Drosophila melanogaster: one gene and its partners. The protein of the gene in region 1 interacts with the protein of each later gene in a pairwise test. Each region holds a gene or a part of one and is shown on either strand. Other genes may lie near its edges.

What was found. The genes of interacting proteins can lie anywhere in the genome.
Region 2: the proteins of spri (region 1) and Rac2 interact in a two-hybrid assay, tested with the Drosophila melanogaster proteins (one large-scale study listed by BioGRID).
Region 3: the proteins of spri (region 1) and STUB1 interact in a two-hybrid assay, tested with the Drosophila melanogaster proteins (one large-scale study listed by BioGRID).

The regions. Positions count from the first base shown.
Region 1 is NC_004354.4:10,579,998-10,588,592, forward strand, and holds the start of spri (sprint), read right to left. Parts: upstream 5,426-8,595; 5' UTR 4,913-5,425; intron 1-4,912. UniProt on the Drosophila melanogaster protein: Potential Ras effector protein. May function as a guanine nucleotide exchange (GEF), by exchanging bound GDP for free GTP.
Region 2 is NT_037436.4:7,430,200-7,438,945, forward strand, and holds Rac2 (Rac2), read right to left. Parts: upstream 4,992-8,746; 5' UTR 4,312-4,991; coding exon 3,733-4,311; 3' UTR 2,563-3,732; downstream 1-2,562. Other genes in the region: CG14835 (uncharacterized protein), read right to left, coding at 6,675-7,133; sphinx1, read right to left, coding at 8,375-8,376, 8,447-8,746. UniProt on the Drosophila melanogaster protein: Involved in integrin alpha-PS3/beta-nu-mediated phagocytosis of Gram-positive S.aureus by hemocytes.
Region 3 is NT_033779.5:10,433,802-10,441,802, reverse strand, and holds STUB1 (STIP1 homology and U-box containing protein 1), read right to left. Parts: upstream 4,256-8,001; 5' UTR 3,965-4,255; coding exon 3,842-3,964; intron 3,763-3,841; coding exon 3,564-3,762; intron 3,503-3,563; coding exon 3,361-3,502; intron 3,213-3,360; coding exon 3,107-3,212; intron 3,048-3,106; coding exon 2,991-3,047; intron 2,922-2,990; coding exon 2,679-2,921; 3' UTR 2,563-2,678; downstream 1-2,562. Other genes in the region: Nse4 (Non-SMC element 4), read right to left, coding at 1,177-1,242, 1,298-1,627, 1,691-1,858, 1,915-2,132, 2,184-2,274; holn1 (hole-in-one), read right to left, coding at 4,634-5,296, 5,362-5,554, 5,614-5,717; TBC1D16 (TBC1 domain family member 16), read left to right, coding at 6,466-7,950.

The DNA.
Region 1 (8,595 bases):
CCAGCGAATTATAACTTAAGCACTTTGTTAGCACTTGGCTAACAAGGAAATTTGGTAATTAATTCACTTTTAAAGGTGGTAAATTATTGTTTTTGCAAAACGTGTTGTTGCTTCTTAAGTTTTTAACCAATTTTGTAATTAATAAAGCACTTCTTTTGAGATTACACTCGATCATCTTTTATTACTACTGCCCATCCAAACTGGTCTTTGCTTTTGTTGACCTGACCACTTATTTTTTTGGGAGCTCATTAGCCAAATGTGTTAGAAGAGTCGATTCGAGATATTTGAAGCATGAAATATCAATAACGAAATCAATATGAAACCTAACGAGTCTGTCGATCGGATCGATCTCATGGGTTAACATGATGTCGATTTGGTGTTATGAATATTTCGGTTTCGCCTCGGTTATTTATTAAATTTGTGTTAAGGTTAAATATCAGCGTGAAATTGAAATGAATTGTGTTGTGGTGATATTAAAGCGTTGGGATCATTTTCAGATACGATTAAACGAGAATCACGCAACGTTCGGAGATTTCGGCGGGCATATACGTCTAATCTTCTCGGAAGAGTAGAATCTTTATCGCTCCGTTCTTCTGGCCTTTGTCCCCGTTTCTTCGATAAACCAGCGTTCAAGTGTAAATTGAATGATAAGCCCGTTTACTGGGCTTCCAGACTCAGAACAGAGAGAGAGAGAGACACACTTAGCTCCCTCTCTCCTTCTATGATGATGATTGTCTTAATGATGTTGATGATGGGCTGGATGGATTGGATGGATGGGGATGGATGGGGATGGATGGGTATGGCCTTTCAATCTCAATTGGTCCGAAGGTGATTTTGTCGCCAAGGCGAAATCGATCGCATTTTATGGCCTCTCAATTGATTTCTGAAGTAAATATGGCTGCACTGGGAAAACTGAGTCAACAAGTTCTCATTTCCTCGACTTTTTTATGCAATCAATTGAGAAAAGAAGTGCTTGCAAGTTTATTTATGATCTGAAGATTCACCTTCAGTTTCTAGCAGTGTATTTTTCAGAGTGCCACTTGCCAATTGAAATGCATGTGGGTCAGCCATCAGCCAATGGTTCCAATCAGCGAACAACAAGTGTCCCTTTAATTAATCTGCACAATTGCATTGGCGTCACTGCAATCGACATGCGATATGCAGCAAAGTATCGTTTATCTGCCGTAACGTATACGCATACACTGCGGCGTATCTATATCTGTAGATACGGGCAATGCAGATCGCGTTGACCAAGGTCAGTTAGCGAGTGGTTAGACCAGCTTCGCATAAGCTCGGTTGAAGTATCTAATCGATAGGATTCATAGCTTTTCGATGGCTTTCTGATCGGACGAAAGAGGCGGCTTTTACTTTCCTCTAGACACAGTGAAAACTCAACGAAACCAGCAAACCAACAAACCGAACTGACGGAGACACAATACAATGACGACAGTTTGCATGGACAACAGACGCAACCAGGACAGCCAACACAACCCAACCAACCATACATATCATATCATATCAGCAGCCGTGGGCAAACAGAACGCACCAAAAAAAAAAAAAAAAAAAAAAAAAAAACAACTCAAAATGGTTTGGGTAGAGGACACCGACCAGATGATACCCCTTACCCTTTAGTTACTACATGTCCACAAATCCATTAAGCAATATATCCAATACGAAAACGAGTGAAAACTTTTGGAAACTGAGTTCCTAAAATAGAAATCACTGTATCCAATAATTTGTATTTGATTCGCCAAGATCTTTGCCCAAAAACCTTCTCTATATACAATGGCATGTTGCCCCAAGAGCCGCATACCACATTTCCGCATGGATCACTGGGTATGAAGGAAACATTTTGTTTGCAGCAGCGCATGGCAACCGAGAAGTGGCACCAACTTGCTGAAATCTTGAGGCGTCCAACGCAGAAGGAGGCGAACTAGATGAGGGACAGTAGGCGGACGAATTGGAATACGACTACGAATGCGACTACGAATGCGAAGGCCTTGTTTATGAATACGCGGGCATTGTCTGAATGCGAGATGTGAGGCATGGCACAACCAGGAAGAGGTGGATATGGATGTGGATGTGGATGCGAAGGAGAATTGGCTGGCCAAAAAGATACACAGCAAATATAGATACTTCTGCGGTCACAAACACACGTACAGATAAAGATACAGATACAGATACATTTTCAGAAACAGAAAACGATGCAGATATGGATCCAACACGGCCGTGTGTGTCTGTCTGTGTTTGGAAACTAAACAAGAAAATATTGACATATAGATTAAGACTTATTAAGGGAGCTCGAGCTTGGTAGTCGACATCAGATCGCTGGGAATGCCGACGCGAAAAATGAAAAGAAGCGAACAACTCTGATGGAGAAATGTGGCATGTTGCATGTAGCATGTGTAGTATGTAGTATGTAGTATGTGGCATGTCGCGTGGGGTGACATGTTGCCCGATCTGCCGTCTGCCACAAAAACACGTGCACTCACTCGCAAATACTCATATATATGTACAAAGATATGTATAAAGATATAGGAGCCCAGATACAGATACTGTGCCACTTGAATTGAGGCAGGTTCAGCCCGCCGCACACTCATGGCCAATATTTGCCAGCAAATATGGTCGAAATCTATATTTAGACACTTACGAACCGCGAATCAACTGATCGATTCCCATCCAACGATCTCGATCTCCCTTCCCAATAATAAAAACAGAGAGAAGACAGAAAACCGGAGCGTATCGCTGTTAACTGGCTTTCTATTGGAACAGTTGGGCGCAGCGGTTAGCTGTTGATAGCCGAAAGCAAAACAAAGTCGAAACAAAAACAAGAGTGCGACTTTCAGACCTCGAGACTCTTGGCCAACTATTTTGGCTGCCGCTGCGCCCACATGGTAGCTCAACTGGTGCTAAAAAGTGATCGCCAAAAAATGATCGCACCGCCAATGCAGCGCATTAGTCAAAGCTGACTTTTTTGGCAATTTTTTTTTTTTTTGGTATTTTGTTATTTAATCTCTGTTTTTTTTTTCTTGCCATCGAATAATTTTAACTCGACATTGCGGCATTTCGTGTGTGGGTGAGAAAAGTTTGGTGGGGAATTTAGCTGAGATCATTCAGTAGGGCTAAGGACTTATAAGCATAGTCAATAATCATCGGAAATTATAGCGATTTTATTTGAGTGTGATCATCTATCAGTCAATGAATTGGTATTCACAGAGATCACTTGATAATCATGAGTTGTATCCATTAAGTGGACAAATTAGTTAGTTCAGTGAGTGATATGATATGATAAATTAATTCTAAGAACTACTAAAAAGATATTAACTGGAAAGAGCCCGAAGAAAGGAAATGGTATCCCAAAAATATCTGGGCACATACGTTTGTATGTATATGATGGGATCGCAACGATTCCTACGTGTATTTAAATGACCATCGCGATAAGCCAAAAAAGCCAAAATATACGAGTGGGATTAGTGGGCATATACAGATGCGATGTTCCCATGCTGAGCGACGAGGATCATTAGCGAAGTAAACCACTGACGATCGCTATCATAATACTGGCATGGCAAACATACGTACGTACAGAGATACCTGGCTGACTGACTGACCAGCGAAAGCAACCCATTGATAAGACCGCTACAGTGGACTATCTAAACCTAATAGCTGTGACAACCGCAAATTGCATGAGGAATACCATATCGACCGGAGGGGTAGTACCGCAGGGTAGGGGAATGTACAGGTAGTGGGACACAGGTAATGACAATAAACATTCTCCACTTATCAGCAATCCGCTGATGCACGCACACAGAGCGAAAATTAGGGCACGTTTCACGCACACCACGGTTTTGGATATTATGTTAGATAATATAGATTATAATTGTTATACCATTTTGCTCTATTTATATATTTTTATATCTTAAGAATGCCTAATTAGTCAATAGTAATAGTAGACCTTGTTTGCTCTGTGCACTTGTGGTTAAGGAAATATTGAGATGATGTTGCGGTTTTGGTTTAGACTTGGAGCTCAGACTTAAGTTTTGGGTTTTTGCCTTTTGATTTTTCGTTTTTTTTTTTTGGCATGCGATAAGACTCGAGACAAAGCCAATTTCCCGCCGATTTCATTGGAAAGATATGGAGTATAGGGGGTTATACATATGTGCTAGCAACAGCTGATTAGCCATTTGAGCAATTTGCAGCACAATCCGTACACATTATCAAAATTTGAGCCGTTTATCATCAGGTGCGTGAAAGCAAGAGGGCGGTGCCCGATGAGGTGAGGAAATGACAACGGCGACAGGAATGCGAATGCGAATATACGAATGCGAATGCGATTGTATGTATGAATGGTATGTAGATGTACGATGGGTATATATGGTAGGTGCTATAAGGTGGCCTGCGAATACCTGGCCGATTAGCAATCCACTGTCAAAATGCATTGAAAGCGAAAGACGACACTAAAGGAAACAGGGACCAAGGGTGCAATGTACCGAGTGTGTAAACCGAAGAGAACCAGGCACAATGTAAAGAAATCCAACGCACTTTTGGCGAGAAAGACAAAAGAGCTTTTCACTCAGAAAAAAAAAAGAATAGTTGTACAGCAGTAATTATTACTATTTATTTAAAGTTAGGTTTTAATCTTTTTCCAAAGATATTGTACAAAGATTTAGTATGATAACCCAAACTGGGAGCAATTAATGGCCAATCCAAATTCACCATCTCGAGTGTGCACTGTATTTTCTTCGAGTGAAAGAAGGGCAAGCGATCAAGAGAGATAGAGTGAGAAGAGAGAGCGGGTGGAAGAGCGAAAAAAGGAGTCCGCGTGGTCGGTGAACTTGAACTTGTGAAAGGATGGGGGAACTACCGGTAAGTGGCTTTATGGATGGGCTACGATCATCACTTTCAATTAAATTACCAGGGGAACGCCAATGCCGCCAAAAGTCGCAACCCGGGAGCCTAGGAACTGGGAATCTCTAGTTCTGAAGATCTCAAGATCTCTGGAACCTGCTCCAATTTTTGTGCGCACTCGCACTCACTCGCCGACAAACTTCACTTCACTTTTCGCACTTAACTCGGCTGCTGTTGTTGTTGTTGTTACAAAACAATTAAATATAAATAACAACGTTGTAGCGCAAATAAAAAAAATTAAACAAAAAAAAATAAATAAAGACCGGGGGAAAAATATAAAAAAAAAGATGTGTATTTAATTGAGCGCGACACGCAGTGATCTTGTGCGACACAATATTATTTTACTTGAGTTGCAGCACAATTTCAATTCTCGCGATCGCCTTACGACTACGGGACTACGGCTTTACGGATTCCGAAGATTACGGGTTCAATTTCTTCTCCACAATTCTCCTTCAGCGAACGAACGAACGAACAACCGACCGACCGACCGACCGTTTGTGGCCGAGTGCGAACTCGAACTAAACTGAACTGAACTGAAGCCGCCGACAAAACGAAGATCGTCGCCGGCAGCAACAACTCGCTGCGATAATAGCAGCAGCAACAACAACAGCAACAACACAAGCAAAATTACGAGATGCGAAACGATGGCGCACAGTGGTCACACTCCTACTGAAAACTCTCCATTCAGTTGATGGATAATGTTAAAAGTTCTTTGCGCCACAAGATATGTATATGAATCTAAACTATTTATCAATAATAAAAGTATATTAAGAGGTATTTTTAACTTAACAGCACAATGGTCGAAGAGTTAAGGAAAGTTGTATCATATGTTTACAGAACATGTTAACAGCACTTTACTCCACAAGATATATGAAACCATGGAGTAATAGCTTAATAGTTAAACTATATTAAAAAAGAACTTAAACTTAACTCTATTGTGGTCACATGTCAGTCATAAGATCTTACATTTTTCAATATATTAATTACAACCATTTACCCAACCATACTAATTTATGAAAGTATAATATCAAAACTATAATATAATGTATTAAGCAAACTTTACGCTTACTCATAGATCATTGTTGTCACTGTGGTTAACATAGGTTGTAAGGAAGATAGCAAAGTTTTTAACTTTGTTAAAGAAATATTTAATATTAAAGTTTATTCTTCTGCTACTAAGTCAACTTACTGTATTAAAAGTTTCCTAAACTATTCTTTCCGTAAATTAACAATGTTTTAAAATGGAAATTACTATGAATGCAATGGATTGTTATATTGGTGTTTTACGGTTACAAAATTTTCTTTAAAAAAGCGCGGAGTTGGCAAAAAATAAATATTGCTCACCAAAGTGAATTATTAAACGGCAGGTGCTGATTTACTTTCGATTTTGGAAAAGGTGCTTGTAATTATCAAAAATTTATGCTGTCCCAATTTAATTAAACGTGTAATGCAAAATAAGCTTATATTGTTTAAAACAAGTTATAGCTGAAAGCCAAAGCTATGGCACATGGAAATCTAAAATGGTTGTTTTGCAATATATCAGTAATATTTTTTCACATGGTACTGCTGACCAAATCAATATTTCTTGCTGTAAAATGAGACTTTTAATTGTCGGAAAATTATGACACCCATAAATTTTAATTAGCAATCTGTTCTTTTTGTCTTTCGTTGTTTGGTTTTAGCTGGAAATTGAATGCACAGACTTTGGTTCACAATCTTAACAGATTCTCTTGAAAATTATCTTTTATCAGTTTTACTATCGTATATGAATAAGTATTTATATTAAAAGATATATTATTGTGCTTAACCCGGTTATATCTTGTTAAGAGGGCGACGTGTTTGTTTCGCTTGATTTGCAGCTTTGTTTGCTATGTGATCGCATTTTTTGCTCGCACTTATTAATTTTTTTTTTTTACAATTCACCTTGTATTGCCAGCCACAAACAATTTGAAAACGCGAAAACTGTCGATGACCGATAAGCAATTGTCGATTACCGATTAGCGTTTTGACTTCTGGAATTGGAAAGAAGCTTCTGATTTCTGATTTTTCACCTTTTTTTTAGCCCTTCCATTTCGAAATTCAGGTTTTCTTGACAGACCCCCATACCCGCCCCATTTGTCGTGTTGTTCTTCTTGTTGTTGTAAAGTGCCATTGTGTCGTGTCGTCGATCTCATTCGCAAATTATCTTTGTTTGCGAAATTGTAATTGTTTTTGCCGTGCACAATTCAGCAAGAAACCGAAGAAAAGGGCTGGTCTCGAAGTCACATTACCCTCTGATAGTTATTATTCCTTCACCTGCGATCTTGACCATCTCAAAAATTAAAAAAAAAAAAAAATGGTAAATAAATATATGAAAATTCATAACTAGATAAATTATAACTTTATAATAAATTATAACAGGTCGGAAAAATAGAATTAAAACGCTGATTATCATAGATGCCCTCAAAATATCGATGCTTACCATAGATGTCCTCAAAAAAACCAAAGATCGATGATTTTTTTTCAGTGCAAGTGGAGTGCTCAACAGCGGCAGCTTCACTATTGTTGTACTCGATAATGGCTTTTCTGTTCACTTTTTTACTCGTCCCCAAAAGCGGGGCGTGTTCGTTGCTTTGTGCTTTTGTTTTGTTGGTGGAGCTGCTTAGCTATTATTTTTGTTTTATTATTTTGTAATACCTTGACATAGGGTATTTAAATATTATGCAGAACTTCAAATGACCTGTCCGAACGGTGCATACACTATTTCTGTTTTTAATAACTTTTCAACACCTTTCCGGTGGTAACAGAGATTTTCAGTGTTTCCAAGCTAAGTTTAAAACATACATTTTCTTGGGTAAAGAACCTACATATCTCGAAAATCTATGGACCCACAACTACACTACCTGTAAACTTTTTTCTGGACCGTGTCCCAGTAGCAACACATTGAAGTATGCTCTGAGTCTGAGTTTCAGATTGCGATTCCTATTCCGATTCTGGGTTTTGTGTGGGTTGGCGACTGTCATTAAATAGTTTGCTTTTCGCTTTTTACTATAACTACTTCTCTGCTCTATTGTTTTTATGTTCTCTTTTATGCATTTGTTTTGCCTAACAATAAACGATGGGTGAACAACAAATGAAACACATGAAAGCGAAAATAGCAACTAAAACAGCAGTTCAATTAACTCTTTTTGTGAGAAATAAGTGCAATCAGATTTGGATTATAGACCAAAGTGTAGGGCATAACTTGATAGCTAACTCTTGATTTGTATTAAATAAGTTACTTTTTGAGTTCTGTGACAGAAAGTCGCCTACTATGCTATGAATCTTTTGAGTTCGCCTAACAATAGCTTTCAAATGGTAAGTGCTATTTTCCTATTCACTCTCGACGGAGAATGAATGACCGACCGACCGACCGCACAATCGTCCGATTAAGTGGCTCATTAGGCGCCGAGGAGGTCATGTGAGCCATTTAGGCAAATTGCATAAGCGATCCGATCCACTCAAGTGCTGTCCCAGCACAATTACACGACGTACAATGGGCGTTCGTAGACGAAGATATTGTGGCAGAGCACACCTGTTATAGAAACACCAACATCCCCACCGGTGGACTAATGGAATTTTAACGTTACGAAAAAGGCAACTAACCAAAACCACCCACTGGAATCTGGCATCCAAGGACCAGGATTAATGCGAACGTGGGGCGCATGTTGC
Region 2 (8,746 bases), on another chromosome or scaffold:
TGAATGTCCTGCGTGTCCTGCCTGTTGGCCATCCATATCAATTGCGTCCTCAAGCTTTTGTTTGCTCACAGCAAGCATCGCGTTTTATTCCGCTTAAATATTCAGCATCTTAATGTGAAATTTGAAAATGTTGTAATTTCGAGTTAACTTGGGAAAAGCTGGAAACTATTGTTTTTCATTATTTCAACGTTTATTGATCTGTATTGAAGTCGTTTCCAGTTTGAGTAAAATCGATTTGTCCTATATTTTTTTGTTTTTCCATGAGCAGCCAAAACCAATAGCAGCATCACAGCGCACAAATGAATTTATTTTTTTTTAGTTGGCTGTTTTGGAAAACTCAACATTTCCGCCCATTCTCCGTTCGCATCATAATTTGCAATGTGTTTTCTGGCAGGAAGTTGCCGCTGAAAATATGCTGAGAAAATAGCTGGGTGGTTTGGGCGGGGATGTGAAAAGGTGTCCGAGCTTGTCATATCCTGTTGGCAGAGGATCAGGTGCAAGCATTTTCCACACCGGAAGTGTGAAATATTTTGACCTCCCCCAGCGCCAAGCTCACCTGAATTTACCTTCATCTTATGTGGCATGGAATTTTTACGCTGGAGCGTATTTTATTGGCATTTTGTACGAAATTTGTGGCCAGCAAGGAATTCTTTCGGAAATTTTCATATTAAATTTTTCCACTTTTCCCAACGGCCACGAATTCGCTGGAAATCTCTCAATTAAGCTGAAAATCGCCACGATTCCATGTTGCTCACCGAGCGTATAATTGATTTAGCCAAATTGTTAACCGCTTGAAAACGGACAAATTGCGCAAGCCTCTTTTGCAAAACCTGGCCCTGGAAAATCAGGACCAAATGGAGCTGTAAGTCCGCCGGGGAAGCTTTTAATTTCACGCATGCAGTGCATAAATTTGCCATTTCCATTTGCATTTACATTTGGCATGGGGCATGATTATGCGACACTTGTCAATGGATTTGCATCGCACAGCAGTTGTCCACTTAGCGGTATTGGCCATTCTGCAGTTTTCCCACTTCGATTTGATGGGAGGGGGATGGGGTGATAATCAAGGAATAATACCGTTCACATTCTAAAATTTGGACTGTGGTTGGTAAATGGAAAATTAAAGGGAAAATCAAGCCAATTTTATTATATGCCTTTTATTTATGAGAGCATTGGAATGCTGCTGTTTACAGGTGAGAAATAAATTTCACATTGGAAAAAGCACAGTCATTTGCATTTTAGAGGAATTTTATAAACTAACTATACAGACTTTTTTGTATGAAATGTTTTTTAAAGACGTAGGAAAATTTGGAAATTAATTGAAGCCAGCATGAAGCACAAAGAAACCTATACATTTAAAACTGTTATTTGTATAACTTGCAAACACGTGGATCTCGTTTATGAAATTGATTATAAATGAATTTGGTATTGTTCTGTTACAAAGTATCTGCATGCAATGTAGTAGGGCAATTGTATCTGAACATGCCGAACATTCCACGCCTGTCAACGCGTCTTCACTCAGCGGCTTCTTCAGCGGTGCATTCTAGAGCCAAAAGTGCAAATTCTAAAGGTGCAGCCAAATTCTAGATGCTAGCCAAATGTTTTTGCTAATTAAATTGACTTCGTTGGTCTCCCTATCCTTTACGGCCTCTCTCTGTTTTGATTGCTGCCTGGTGCCGCGGTGTTTGTTCAAAATGTGGGTCAATTATGCGATTCGTCGCGTCACAGACAAAACCACACGATGGGTTGGTGATGGTGGTGTGGCAAAAACATCCATCAGTGGCCATTGAAATGTGCGGGAGGATGGGCACAATTCGCACAGCAGGTTGTCTTATGTAATTATTTGTCAAATTCACACACTGAGCAGCGGCAGTGTGGGGCCATGCCCACATCCGCTAACGAGCCGCAGACACACGGTGACCGCAAAGCCATCGAAAACCACCCACCCAAAACACCCAAATCACCCAAACCAGCCCCTCATCATACTCGTATCCGCGGGCAATCAATCAACAGCTGGCTCATTATGACAATCGAAGTATTCTATAGATATAGATAGAATTGAAAGAAAGCGGAGCATAAAGACATAAATAAATATGATGTAGCCATTATAGTATATAGGCATATGTATGTATGTATGTATGATAGGACTGAAACTGGCAAATTGCTTAGTCAACCGGTCCGGGGATCAGAACTTCCGGCGTGTCCGGCAATCGGAAATAATTATCTAAAATTTGTGACAAATGCGGGTGCAGATAAGATTAAAGTTGCCAGGCGTGTGCAATTTTCCCCACTAGCCGAAAAGTATGCAGCAGTTCAGGGGTCAAGCACCATTGCATTGCCAACTATGAAAACCTTTAAATATACCCACATTACTTCCATAATAGACATAAATCTGAATTGCACTTTGCTCCCAACATAATTCATCCGACTATTTAGTTTTGTACAAACGTTTATTTTGGTTGATTAATATTACACTCTTTATTGATAAATTATGTGTTAATATAAATAAAGTGTTTCCTTTTTTTTTAATTTACCGCTCGCTCTCTTTCGTTAAAACAAATTGGCAAAATGTATGCATTTATTTAACATAAATATCAGTATATAAATTAACATCAAAGTAGAGGCTAATTGTGCATTTAGTATACATTAAATCAAGTCCAGGCAAATGCGTTGAGCGGGAAGACCATTGATCAGACACACACACACACATTCACACGTAACTCTAAATACTATATGTATAAATGAAAGTTCTTTTTTTGTCGGCTTCCCACATTCCCCGATTGTTCAGATATTGGCCATAGGCGGGGCCTTTCCTGGGGTTTTTCTTCCACACCCAGATAACGGCTATCTGGTACTGGTTATAGTGACTGCGTTTGGGGCGCTAAAGGCTATAAATCGTCTAGATTTATTTACAATTAATTTTATTTGATTTGTCATACGTTTCTCAGGCCGAATTTCATTTGCAAAGTTCTAATTTCTGCTGTTTAATATAATGCACTTGCGTTTTAAGGCAATTTATGGATTACTATTTGCGAAAATCAAAATTTCTTTTTTTGCAATTAACATTATATAAAAAATGTTTTTTTAATTAGTCGAAATCATTTTTAAAATGTTAATTCTTGTATGTCATAAGCGCAAAAGTATGAGTTGTACTTAATCTAAATTCTAAAACAAGTTAGTCATTAAAAATACTACGAAACAATAACTCAGAACAGAAAAATTTAAACATGTTATCTAGAGCAATATAGAAATTAATTTGAGCAATATTACATCAAATATCTCAAGTTTTAGAAGTTCTTCCACATTTATTTTACTGTGTACGCACAATATCATACTTATATGCTTATGTGTATATCTTTCTATCCGTGATCTGCCCCCCAGAGACCCCTGGCCCCGCCCCCACCCTGTGTAGCCCCCTTGCTGATAGCTGTGTTGTTGTTTTTGTGGCTGCTGCTCCCCCACATAAAGCTGACAATAAAAACAAAACTACGCTCACTCATTCACACACTCATGCCGTCACACTCGCAACCCAGAGACGCGCTCACACTTGCACTCACATCACACACACACACAATACACACACTCACACACTATCTGCTGTAACTAAAGACCCAACAAAGCGAATATGAATATTTTGCACAGAATTTTGCGCTTTGTTCTCTTCTCTTCTCGTTTTTTTTTTTGTTTTTGTTGAAGTTCTTCGCGTTTTTGTTTTGGGTGGGTTCAAAGTTCTTAGAGCAGGGCGCACTTGTGCCGCTTGGGTCCTCGAACGACAGGACATAGCACGGATCGTATGGCCTCGTCGAAGACCGTCTTCAGACCCTTTTGGGTCAGGGCCGAGCACTCCAGATACTTGACCGCAGCTATTTCCTTGGCCATCGCCAGTCCTTGGGGATAGGTGATCGGTGTTAGCTTCTTGTCCTTCAGCTTCTCGATCGTCTGCTTATCGTCGCGCAGATCCAGTTTGGTGCCGACCAGGATTATCGGCACACTCGGGCAATGATGACGCACCTCGGGAAACCATTTGGCTCGCACATTCTCAAACGATGCCGGATTCACCAGTGAGAAACAGATGAGAAAGACATCCGTTTGCGGATAGGATAGCGGCCTCAGGCGATCGTAGTCCTCCTGTCCAGCCGTATCCCAGAGGCCCAGATTGATGGGCTTGGCATCCACCATCACATTCGCCGAATAGTTGTCGAACACCGTGGGTATGTACTCGCCGGGGAAGGCGTTGGTCGTATAGCTGATCAGCAGACAGGTCTTTCCCACCGCTCCGTCGCCCACAACCACACACTTGATGGCCTGCATGATGAAGGCTACTGTACTGGTGGTACTACTGGGCAATCGATGGGTTCAGCAGCTCGATGGGTTGCTTGTGCGCTGGGGGCAGAGGGTTTTTCAGTGGATCAGCTGGTTTCGTGCTCGATTTCCAGTGGCTCAACTGGTTTTCTTTGTGGCAGCTTAACTTATAATTACTTTGGGGTAATTCATTCAATTCAGTAGGTCAGACAGTTTTTGAATGCTTCGATATTTGTACTTTTGAACTATTTTGTACTTTTCTTTTTTCTGTTCAACAGACAAATTTTAGTCACACAATTTAGTTTTGCCTTGTATCGCAGCTCAGCTAGTTTTTCTAATTGTATAGCTTTTGCTTTTCGCGTTGGCGTTTTGCTTTTATTGTTTTTTTTTTTTGGCGATTATACAATAATTTGCTCACGCACTAATACAAATTCTGCCCACACACACACACACATTCAAGCAATCGCGTACAGAGAGAGATGCGAATTTGAAGTGGAGTTTGATTTATCGCGAAAGTTGTCAAATCAATATTCTTAATTGAAAGCAGAACCGTGACGGCGTTCTTTCTGTTCGGTCGGTATATTATTTATGAATTAATTGGGCCCGCATATGTGGGGATTTGCTGATTTTCTGTGGCAGAAACGGAAAAAACACGCCCAAACGCTGTGAAATCTTCGCGGCGATTGAAGAAAATTTCTGCCTCCGCTGGCAGTTGTTGTACTTGTTTTTTCACTGTAGTTTTCGCTCTTTCAACTGGCTTGTACGGCTGTCTCGCTCGTTCGCGTGCGTTAGTCGCTTAAACGAAGCGCTGCGCGCATACGCTCTCCCACACAAAGAGCGAGCGAGCGAACGTGAGCGAGAGCGGCACTGGCACAGTGCAGTCCCATAAAATTAGTCACAGTGAGTCATTCGCTCGGTGACGTTAGTCGTGGCAATCCACAGAGAGCAGAGCGAGACAGAGATAGTGAGTCTCTTTACTTGACCTTGCTTTGGTCGTTTTTGTAGAGTTTTCTATATTCGTTCGACGGTTTTCCACGAATTTCCCGACCGTTGCTGTTGTTTTGAGCCAATTTCCACGCGACTAGAGGCTATCAGAGATGTGCGGTACCCAACTCAGGTACAAATCGCCCGTAGCTTATCGCGGTACAATTACAGTGCCACACCAAAAACAAGCAAAACGTTGATATCGCGCGATATAAATATTAATTGAACAATATTTTTTTTATTGATGAATCAATTATGTGACCTAAATATGTGTCACAGTCTTTGGATGAATATACTTAAATGGAAGTATTCATATTTTAAAATTGGAAACTCAAATTTAGATTCTGGAATTACTTTTAATTCTCCTTAATTCGGGCCATATTAATTTACGACCGTTACATCCCATCTAATTCTTAAACGAATTATTAAATTTTTCATGACCAGCGATATTTGCTGCCGTTGACTGTTTTAATGGACCACAAAATTGCGTGTGTCGGCAAAAACCAAAGCCCAAGGAATAACAAACAAATAACATTGGCAAACAGTGCAAAATATCGACAGTAAAAACCGAAAAGCAAAAACAGAACCCAAACCGAATCCACCGAATCCGCCGCATCCGCATTCAGCCAAAAGTGATAGCCGAAATATTTCGTGTTTGTGTTTTGGCTTCCGCCCCACCAACCAGAAGCCCAAAACATCCCCCCCCCCCGTCCTCCACATGCCACGCCCATTTTCGCATTGATTTTAAAATGGAAATGTTTAAAGTGCCGTCGGCGAATATTTTCGCATTTAAGTTAATTTCTCGCACTGCTGATGGTGCTGCTGTAATTGGATAATTAAATAGGCGCCACAAAATTTGTTCTCCAGCAATCCGAACAACAAGCACGAATATATGAATTTCAATAATATGCATTTTCAAAAAGTTTTTAATGGAATTTACTGTAAAAAATCCGCAACAATTAAATCGCCAATGAAGTCCGTTCAAGTGGAATAAATGTTTCTGTTTCCGTTTGTGCGTGGATGAATCATTCGATTTCGTATTCGATTTCAAGTGGGCGGGTGGGCGTCGCAAGGTTATCAGCGGGTCAGGGCGTGAAACAAAAACAACACTTTTTCGAATTAATTTTCAAATTACAGCGTAATTTAATAGATTAACCAATCGAAAGCTTTTGGCTAAAACAATGGTGTTAAATTAAGTTGAAAAGCGATAAGCGCAACAAATAATGCAGTTATCAAATTACCTTTCAGCAAAGTTATTTACTTAAACCATAACATTTTGAAACCCAAATGAGCCTTTAAGCTCCCAGAAAAAAAAAACATTTGATTGCAGTGTACCTATATTTTCCATTGCTAGCATATCCGGTGGTCAAAAGGGTTCATCAAGGTTTTTAAAGAGGCGGGTTTTCCCAGTGAAATTGGGATGTATACCTGGTACACCTGGTACTTCCAATCCCTGGACTTCGCTTCCGGCTCGTTGCACCCATCTTCTGCTGCCGCTTCTTCCTATGCGTCTTGGCATTTCCACGACAGATTCTACGCTTACTTGACTGAACATCAGAGCGCGTCCTTTGCACTGTGACCTGCTGAGGCGACAGGACATTGACGGTTAACCTCATTGCCGACTCGATGGATGGTCCGAATTGGGCCATCAAATAGGGGACTTCCTCGAACAAGGACTGCTCCTGGTCACTGAGTGCGTGCCAAGCGTTGCGGGCTTCCTTAACCAGTGTGACAGCTGGTATATTCTTACAATCGCAGCCTAGGCGGTATTCCCGCAGAAAGTTGTACGGGGCACATTTGCTGATGAACACTGGCGACTTGGAGCCAATGCTATAGCTGTAGTCCATCGGAATGCCGGGAATGGAGGCGAATTTTATGCGGCACGGGCGAGATGATCAGGAAACTCAATAATTTTGGTAAAGTCGTGGCACTGGGAAATGTGTTTTATCAAATATTTAACATCACATCTACGAATCGGTGTATTTCGAAATACAAGCGCTGCTGACATATACGAAAACAAATTTCGGATTACTTGTTTCGTTTCGAAATCGATTAGGTACATATATGTGAATTTTTTATTACCAGAAGTTAACTAACAATTTGCTGCTCTGCATAGTAAACAATTGCAATTGAAATGCCGCACTGAACCGCTTTGCATTAATCGAGTAATCTTTGGCATATTCAGGACTTTATCCGCATATCCTTATTACGACGTGTCCATTGCGGAGTGAAAAACTGTGCAAATAATTAAAGCCAAAGTGCGATACGTATGACAGTGAGTGCAACAATTATTTGATTACTGTCGCCGGGACTGCCAGTTCCCAGTTCAGTTCCCTTTGCCACGTAATTGGCGGAGTGATATATGCACATATACATATATATACATTTATATGAATATATATCCCAACCCCCGGTAATCGATGCAGGAATTTCATGGGAACAGCTTGCTGGCCATTATGCAGCGAGTTATTCATAATTGTTGTTGCTGCCCAAGTGGCAGGAAAATGCATAACAAACTGAAAAATATTCAAGCCATTTTTATTGCCACACCAGACGAACCGCACACTACATATACAGATATACATATATATACACACACATATATATATATATATATATATATATATATATGGCGATAATGAATGAATGTGCGCTAAAGAACCGCAGCCTGAACAGAAAAGAGCGAAATAAAGCAAATAGTGCAACTTCAACTGTAACAGGGCTACAATAACAATAAATTTAACACTTTAACGATTGTGTTATATATAATATCCCCAAATTGCAATACAAACCAAATTATTTTAGTTTAATAAGTTTAAATACGGCAGTAGACTTTTAGGAGTCCTGTATTTTGGGTGTGCTAATCCCAAGCTGTAAAATATTTGATACTGTGTACTCAAATAACTAACAGAGTTAAGATAAGAAACTGCATTTTGCAGAATATTTACAATAATTTTTATTAATATTTTTTAAAAACATGACATGACATGACATGCTTTGTTTCCAGAAAAACTTTGTTTTTTGTATTTTTGTTTGATTTATTTTTCTGTTTATTTTATGGGCAGCATTATTAAAACGTACATCCTTGTTCTGCAATGAATCAATTTAGCCATTCACCTTTATTAGTAAAAAAAAAATAGTTCATATTTGGAATACTCACAGAATCCCACTCCGGATACACGCTTTATCCACTTTATATGATCGCTGACGCGTATGTGTACCGAAGGATATCCAATGCTGCAGTTTTCGGGCATGAGCCATATGATGCCAATGAAGGTTGGATTCGGCCCCATTGTGACCACCGCACCACCAATGTCACCCTCACAAACTCCTTTAAAACCCTCGCCGGAGGTGCACATCTCATACCATTTCAATGGCGTATAGTATTTGGCGCACTCCGTGTTATTCATGACCTCCACTTCTATGCAACGCATCCATTCGGGCAGCTTAGCATGTCGTT
Region 3 (8,001 bases), on another chromosome or scaffold:
AATAAGAAAACTTTGAAATAGATAAAATTTAAAGCTAAATTGTTTTTTTGAAATAAAAACATATTGCAGCATATGCATAAAAACAATACATTTTTTCAATAATTTTCCAGTTAAAAAAAAACTATTTTCTCTTTGCTCAAACTCATAGTAGCATAATGCATTTACTAAGTTTTTCATAGAAGTAGAATTCTTCAATGGAATTTACTAAGACAAACCCAACTTGGCAACTTATTGAAACTGCGCTTGTGCATCATTAATTTTGTATTTTGAAGATTGGGTGGCTATTAATTGGGTCGTTTGTTGCTATGCTGATATGGAGCAATAAATCTTCATTTTGGTTTTATATATAATTACACATTAGCTTAGTTTCCTGCACTTGGGTCAACTCTCTTCGCCCACATGAAGTTGAAAGCCCCAAAATCTCAGACAATAGTGCATCGAGTAACTTGATCTACTACATCCAGTTTGAATAGAAGCACTGATCTCTTAGAAAAGGCTATACTCCATAGAAAGCCTTTTAAACTCCGTCGACCGCAAAGATGCAATTAACCCTAAGCTTCATTGTGCAATAAATCTTAATTAATCTTAATTTCTCTTTGTGGAATTAAGTTAACGGAATTCAATTAAAAGCCGCTGTGCAACGGAAAGTGCACTAATTTCGAGCACAGGAGTGATTTTTTAATTAATGGACCAATCATTCATTCATTCATTATTCCACTCTGCAAAGTAATTTATTTGTTTAATTCTTGGTATGCCACCCATTGAGACCAGGAAAAACGGATTAAGAACATAATCCGAAACTGGTTAAAGTTATAAGTAAACAACTTAACTAATATTTAGTTCCTAAATATAACATACATACATTTTATATTGCTATAACTTCACAAGTGCCCCTTCTACATATTTCACAATTTGTAGGCGGTCATAAAAATTGACATAATGGCAGGGGCGGATTCGTAGTAAAATATTGGGGGAAGTGTTTGAACTATGAAGTAACTGCTTGAGTAATAAAATTCATTTAATGATTTTGTGTTGATATTACGTTAATTACTTAATGTTTGGGGGAAAGAACACTTTCAATTACCCGATTATTTATGCCGTACATGAGTAACTTTAAACGTTCTATGTGTTTTATTAATAACAATATAAACTATTAATATGAACTAAGTGATATATCTATTTCTCACTAACCGGAAGTCTTTTTAACATTGGCTCATGTAGGTTGTAGTGCTTTACCATTTTCTGTAATTTAAATCATATCAATTATAATGCTTTAAACAATAATTGAAATACGAACCTCACAAAAGGTAACATCGATGGAACAAATAGCCTGGGACGGTGCGTTTCCTTCGACCGATTTGGAATTCACAACGCGAACCAATGGCAAACCATCCTCGCCATTTTCGATGGAAATATAGTTCTCCTTGACAAGAAACGACAGTTGCAAAGCGTTCTGAACGGTGTCCATAAAATTGTTTGGATTGCAAATCAGTTTAAAGTACGGAATCGGCTCTTGATTGCCATCTCGATATATTTGTCTTATTTGCTTCAGCATGTGGGTTACGGACGCTGCTCCTTCGTCCTTGCGTTCCAATTGGTCACTCTTTTCTGGACGCTTCTCATCTACCTACAAGATCCATAATAATATGAACAAATATTACTGTGAGAAATTGTTTAACAAATGACTTACTTGAGATTTCGTTTTGCGAGGAGCACGTTGCTTTTGAACCACCACCTTTGGAGTAACATCTATGAAGGGCAGCATGCTATCATTGGTGAAGAGTGGTCTTCCGAACTGAATAGCCAATGAACAAAGAGCATCCCAATCTTCTTCGCTCTCTTTGAAAACCAAATCGTTCTGTAATAGGATCAAACATTACGATCAGGCATAAATAAAGTACACAGTGCACCTACGATCGCCGTGGCCACCATTCGATCCGTGACGTTGGTGTTATGTTGGATAGCTTTTCCCACAACTTCGAAATTGCGACGCAGTAGCTCCGTGTCCAGGACAAGTTCCGTGGAGTTTGTACGGCGGTCTTCATGTCCCTTGCTGATATCGTTGGCTGTCTGAATGATTTCCTCTATGGCCGTGATAGACTCTCCGATGGTGTTGTTTTCGATTTGTTGCTCTGCAATTCATATAGTTATTTCAGATATTAGTAATTTATGATTTAACTTACCTATCTCAATATTCTTTTCGATCAGATTTTGCAGACGCAGTATGCGAGCATCTTGGTCATCCATTTGCGATTGGCTTTCAGACGAATCCATATTATTGTTAAATAAATACTAAACAAAGAAGAGCGAAGTTAATCCAATTGTGAATTCACATAAACAAATTTCTTTGAAAATGATTTCTGCAAATCTGTAAGCAGCTGTATATCGATAATTTGTTTGGTCAAGATATCACCAACTTTTTGACTAACTGGAACGGGTGATCGAAACTATATTGTTTTCACACTACCGCTAACTCTCTATCGATATCGTGCAAAAGCTTTTTTATTTATATTTTGAACATTATGCTGTTTAATTTATTAATAATTACAATTTATCCATTTACAATATAAATCTCAATTGCAGATCCACATTTATTATCACTTATCTGGTTTTTAGACAATGGGAACTGGGTTCTAACATCTAATCAATTACAATGACAATGCCAACTAATAAGTAACTTAATAATCTAAAGACCATTCATTCTCGGCAATAAAAGAGTCAACCACTTCCTTCATTGAAAAATTTGGTATTAGTTGATCCTGAGTGAGCTTAACGCGTGTCACAGGATCGAAATGTCCAACCCGCTGCAAGTGTTCTTCTATATCTTTTCGTTCATACGTAATTCCAGATGGAGTTATCACAGGGTCTGTTAATATTTCAAAACTTATTTTGCCACATAGAAAATCGGGAACTTCACGTTTCTGTAATATGTAAATAACAATATTAGAACAATATTTTTAATATTGGTTATTTTTCCTTTAGTTTCTTACCTTTCGACGTTCGTCAACCTTAGAAAATATATTGTTAAGTTCCTTAATATGGTCATCCTAAAAAGTAAAATTAGATTGTCAACTCCGCTAAATATTCTGGTTAAAGTCCAACTTACGCATTCTTGCTCAATTTCCTGTTGCTTGTCTTTCAGCTGCTCATCGTGTACATTTCCATTCAGCTTTAAATTGGCCAAACGGCTTTCCATGTCCCCTTTTATTAGACTGAAACATAAATATTTAGGTTTTGCACAAATTTCGCTTTTTTTAATATATATTCTATCACATGAGGACAACAATTGCCTCGATATCGTCGTGCGGTGACTAAATTTAGTTTGCAAAAGGCATCTAGAGAATTCGAATAACATCTTACCCATTTAAATAGCTTTGCAGCTCGATTTCCTGCTGTATTCGCTTCTCCTCCATAACATTCCAGCGCTTTTTGCGAGCTAGTCGCAACTGTAGTGTAATATCATCCCCAAAGTTTTGCTTCTGCTCCTTGGACAGATCGTATGCTATAAGTTTCATATATGGTTAGTTAGTGTAGAGAACATCAAAGGTCAGGTATTATCTAACCCCGTTGAAGGTGCTTTATAGCCTCGTCAAAGTTGTCGATTTCCATGAGTCCTTGGCCCAGGAAGAAGTGACCCTTCAACAGATTCCCATCGATGTCGAGGGCGCGCCGACTATCCTGGCAGCACAGTTCCCATCTCTTCAGTTTCAGGTTGCAGAGGGCTCGGTTTGTGAAGTATGTGGCGTTTGTGGGGTTCTTTATCTACATATTATATGGAGCATAGTGCACATGTAAACAACAAAATACACATCACAATAACAAAAATATGTGAGACACCTACGATGGCCTTTGAGTAGCAATTTATTGCGTCGTCATATTTTCGGGCTGCAAACAAGCAGTTTCCCTGCTCCTTTAATTGCAGATCTGATAAATTGGTCGTGGAATAGATGTGCTTGGTCGTCATCCTGACGAATCTTCTGCGCCTGGTCCCAAATTTGATTTTCCACCGATGAAAAGTGAGTGTGTGTCCAACAACACCGAAGCACTCGTAAATTTGTTTCCTCTGCAAGAATTGGGGAACTGCTGCACGAACTTAACAGTTAACAAAGTATTAAGTGGGAAACGGTAGTGACTTTTGAACGCTCATAACACCAAAAAGATCTTGAGCTATTCGCCTGTATTTAATTAAACATAAAACAATTTTCAGCTACGTTAATCGATGTGTTTCTAGAGTTGCCAAGACTCACAAGCTTAAATTAAAGCTGCACATTCATCGATTGCACTATCACCGCCCAAACGATACTTTTGCCACACTATCGTTTGCACATTTCAAAAACAACAGTGCCATTTTCGAGTTTCTCGACTATCAGATATCTCTTACTGAACTAGTGGGTCTAATAGAAGAATCTTTCGCTATTCGTCACTAGCGCAAGTAACTCGGATACATAATTTGGTATATCTGACCAAATTTAAGAGCCGACAGAATCAATATGAATATGAATTTTATTTTAAGTCCAAACCAAGTGCAAACTAATTGAAACCTCTTGTAAAGTATACAGTATACAATTATAGAACAAAGTATTTGCAGAAAACATGTTAAAACCCAAAGAATTTAACATTTGTTAACTAAGGCCTACAAGTACAAATCGAAATCTATGCGGTTGCTTGTATAGAAATTTGTGTTTTCGCCGCACTTTCGCACATAGACTCCGTTTTTAAAGTAGTTCTCCTGGGACCATTTCAACATTTTCTCCGTGGAAAAGGGTCCCTGGATATCAGTCTCATCCTGCGACCATTTAAACTCCCAGGTCACCTCTGAGGTAGTCGTCGTTGGTTTGGAGCTATCACTCGACGATGTCTTAGAGCGCTCCAATTCTTTCGTTTCGAAATCATCTGCATACATATCAATATCATCGGCTACTTTAGGTTTGCTCGTTCCTGGCAAATCGGCGATCTTGGCCTTGATGCTTTCGTACGTATCCTGATATATATCCATATTGCCCGTCTTCGAGAGAATCTCGTTGGCCAGCTCGGTGAGCTGAGAGATTTCCTGTGTCTTTGGGTCAACGATGCCGGCCTTTTTCTGCTTAATCCTCTGAAGGGTTGTTAGGACGGGGCGCTGCTTACCCAGACGCTGCAGGGTCATCTTGACAGTCTCTCCCGGTTTCATAAACTCGACCATTTTCATGAGGTTCATGGACAAGTTAAAGGCCTTGCCCACGGGTTCGTTCTTCTCCTCATCGGAAGAGTTTTCTTCATCTTTTGCCGGGTCGAAGGCGTTCTTCTGTGTGCCAATCTGTTAGGCAAATATTGCTTTTAAATTAAATGATTGTGTACAGGCAGCAGTGATGGAATCCTTACTTTAACCCAGTCTATGTTGTCCAACCAATTGTCCTTTGCTTCCGTCTCCTTGTTCCAATGGTAGTGACCATCTTTGTCGAAGTGTCCCTCCTCCAGTTCTTCCTTCATATTGAAGGGTGTTACCTTCACATCGTCTTCCACTTTTGCCACGCCCTCCTCGCCGCCCTCAATGTCGCTATCATTGAGGTATTCCCTGCAAACAAAAAGTGCCGAAATCAAAACAATCAATTGTTTGCACATTTTAAGCATTACCTTTCGTAGTCGTCAGAATCCTCTTCATCGGAGTCAAGCGTGTGTTTCTTGAAGGATTCCTCTTTCACTTTCTGGGATGCTTGGTGCTTTCTTTTGCTCGCCATTTTATCAAGAACTCAAGACAAAACTAAATGCAATGTCAATATTTTTAAGCGACTATTGATTCTATTTACGTTAGTGAAGGTAAGTCTGATATCGATAGCTGGAACATATGCTGTTCCAATACCAATGTTCCTGTAGTTTCTAAAATTTATTTAAATTATATTTAATTAATGTATATATAATATGTTTTGTATTCCATTTGATATATAGTATGATTATGTGAAGAAAGCTTATAGAAATAGACTTAGATTTGATTGATTTGCAAGCTGAATAAGAAGATATTAATATACACCTACTCGCATTTAATATATTATCATTGTTATTAAAAATATACCTTTTCATTGCAGTTTGAATTAATAAATCCTCAACATTTTTAAAGTATTAAATATCGAAACCAGTCTTAAAACCATCGACTGTTAACTGCGCCTGCGCTGAGTTTTCGCGTAAATTCTTTTCCTCCAATGTCATCCTGCTTGTGAGAGGTCCCTAGAATCAAAAGTTAATAGTTTTTTTTTTCACCAATCCGCTGTGTTACAATTAATTGTCGAATCAAAGGTTTAGCCAACCAATTCCTAAAATTATGGTAACCAGCGACCGCCATAATCAAACAAAAATCCGCCAAACCAGAAGCTAACCAGAGAAAAAAGTTCCCCATCCGCCCACTAGTAAATCCGTTAGGATAACTCCGGGAAGGAAACCTATAATTCACCATATAGTAGTTACCCGCTCAAGGATATCAAATTCGAGACCATGCCCATAGGAAGCATTATCAAAAAGGCTTCTAGTTTCATACTGGGCGACGAGAGATTGGACAGAAAAATCGATATTGCTTACGAAGACAACGAAATCCTCTTCTGCAAGAATAACGTCTGCATCCATCCGCCCACAATCGCCCGCGATGAGTCGGATATACTGCACAATCCGGGCTATTTGACCTGCACGACAAAGACCTTTGTAGATCAGTATAATAGCGCCAAGAGGCCCACGCTTCTGCTCACCTGGATACCGAACTCGTCGCTATGCAAGTATACCAATCTGAATGCCGACGATTGCCGGGGTCAGTGTAATCCGAGGAGCAAGTCGCCGGACTCTCGAAACGGCTACTGCCACGTGACCATACCGCAGACGATCCAGGAGAGGGACATTCGGGAGGAGGATGAGAACGCGGCGGATATGCAGGAGCTAAAGAACGAACTGCAACCGCTGCTGGGTGGCCAAGCTGCATCCATAGACGACTTGACCGCTCTGCTGAAGAATAACCCCATCACGTCGGTGAACATAACGATCTCCAATCCGCAGATCGAGAACAGCAATATATCGCAGTCCTTCAACTGCATCACCATCCGGCCGGATAGTAACAATTGCTCCGATTGCACGAATGGTTCTGGAGTAGGCGATGGCCCGGCAACCGATAACCCAAAGTGGACAACACCTGAACTGCTGGCCTTCAAGCACAACCTGGAGTTCCCGGATAGCGGCAATTCGACGCCAGCCGATCGCCAAAAATCCGCGATGAAGTGCCGCCATTTCTCCGTTGACCTAAGCCAAATGCGATCTCTGCGCCTTTTCTTCAATGACGACAACTGCACTTCGGGTCAGCTGGTGATCGCGTCGCGGGAGTCGCAGTACAAGATTCTACATTTCCATTACGGTGGCTTGGATCACCTGGCCCAGGTGCTGCACCAGTGGCACTGCTTTCTGCACAACATCACATCGGAAACGGGCCAGGATAAATTCGATTTGCCGTACAGGCACTTCATGGTCTGTCGGCCGGAGGTTAAGAAATCGGAAATGCATCCGGACGAGGGCGATGTCAAGAAGATAACAACGAACTTTTTCTACGGCACGCTGCTCAATGAGAAGGGACAGATCGAGGACGACTTGCTGCTCCGGAAATGTGTCTTCTTTGGTGGCTTGGAAAAGAGTCTGCGAAAGACGGTGTGGCCATTCCTTCTAAAGTGCTACTCATTCTCCTCGACATTCGAGGATCGCGCAGTGCTCATGGACATCAAGCGGCAGGAGTACGAGGAAATTACGCGAAAGCGCCTGTACTCGATGTCCCCAGAACAGCAAATTCACTTCTGGAAGACCGTGCAGATTGTGGTGGAGAAGGATGTGGTTCGCACGGATCGCACCAATCCGTTCTTCTGCGGCGACGATAATCCCAATACCGAGGTCATGAAAAACATTTTGCTTAACTTTGCCGTATACAACACCGGAATGTCCTATTCCCAGGTGGGTCCTAGATCCAGTTAATGGTTAGCTCGCTTCTTCAAATTGTCCTTA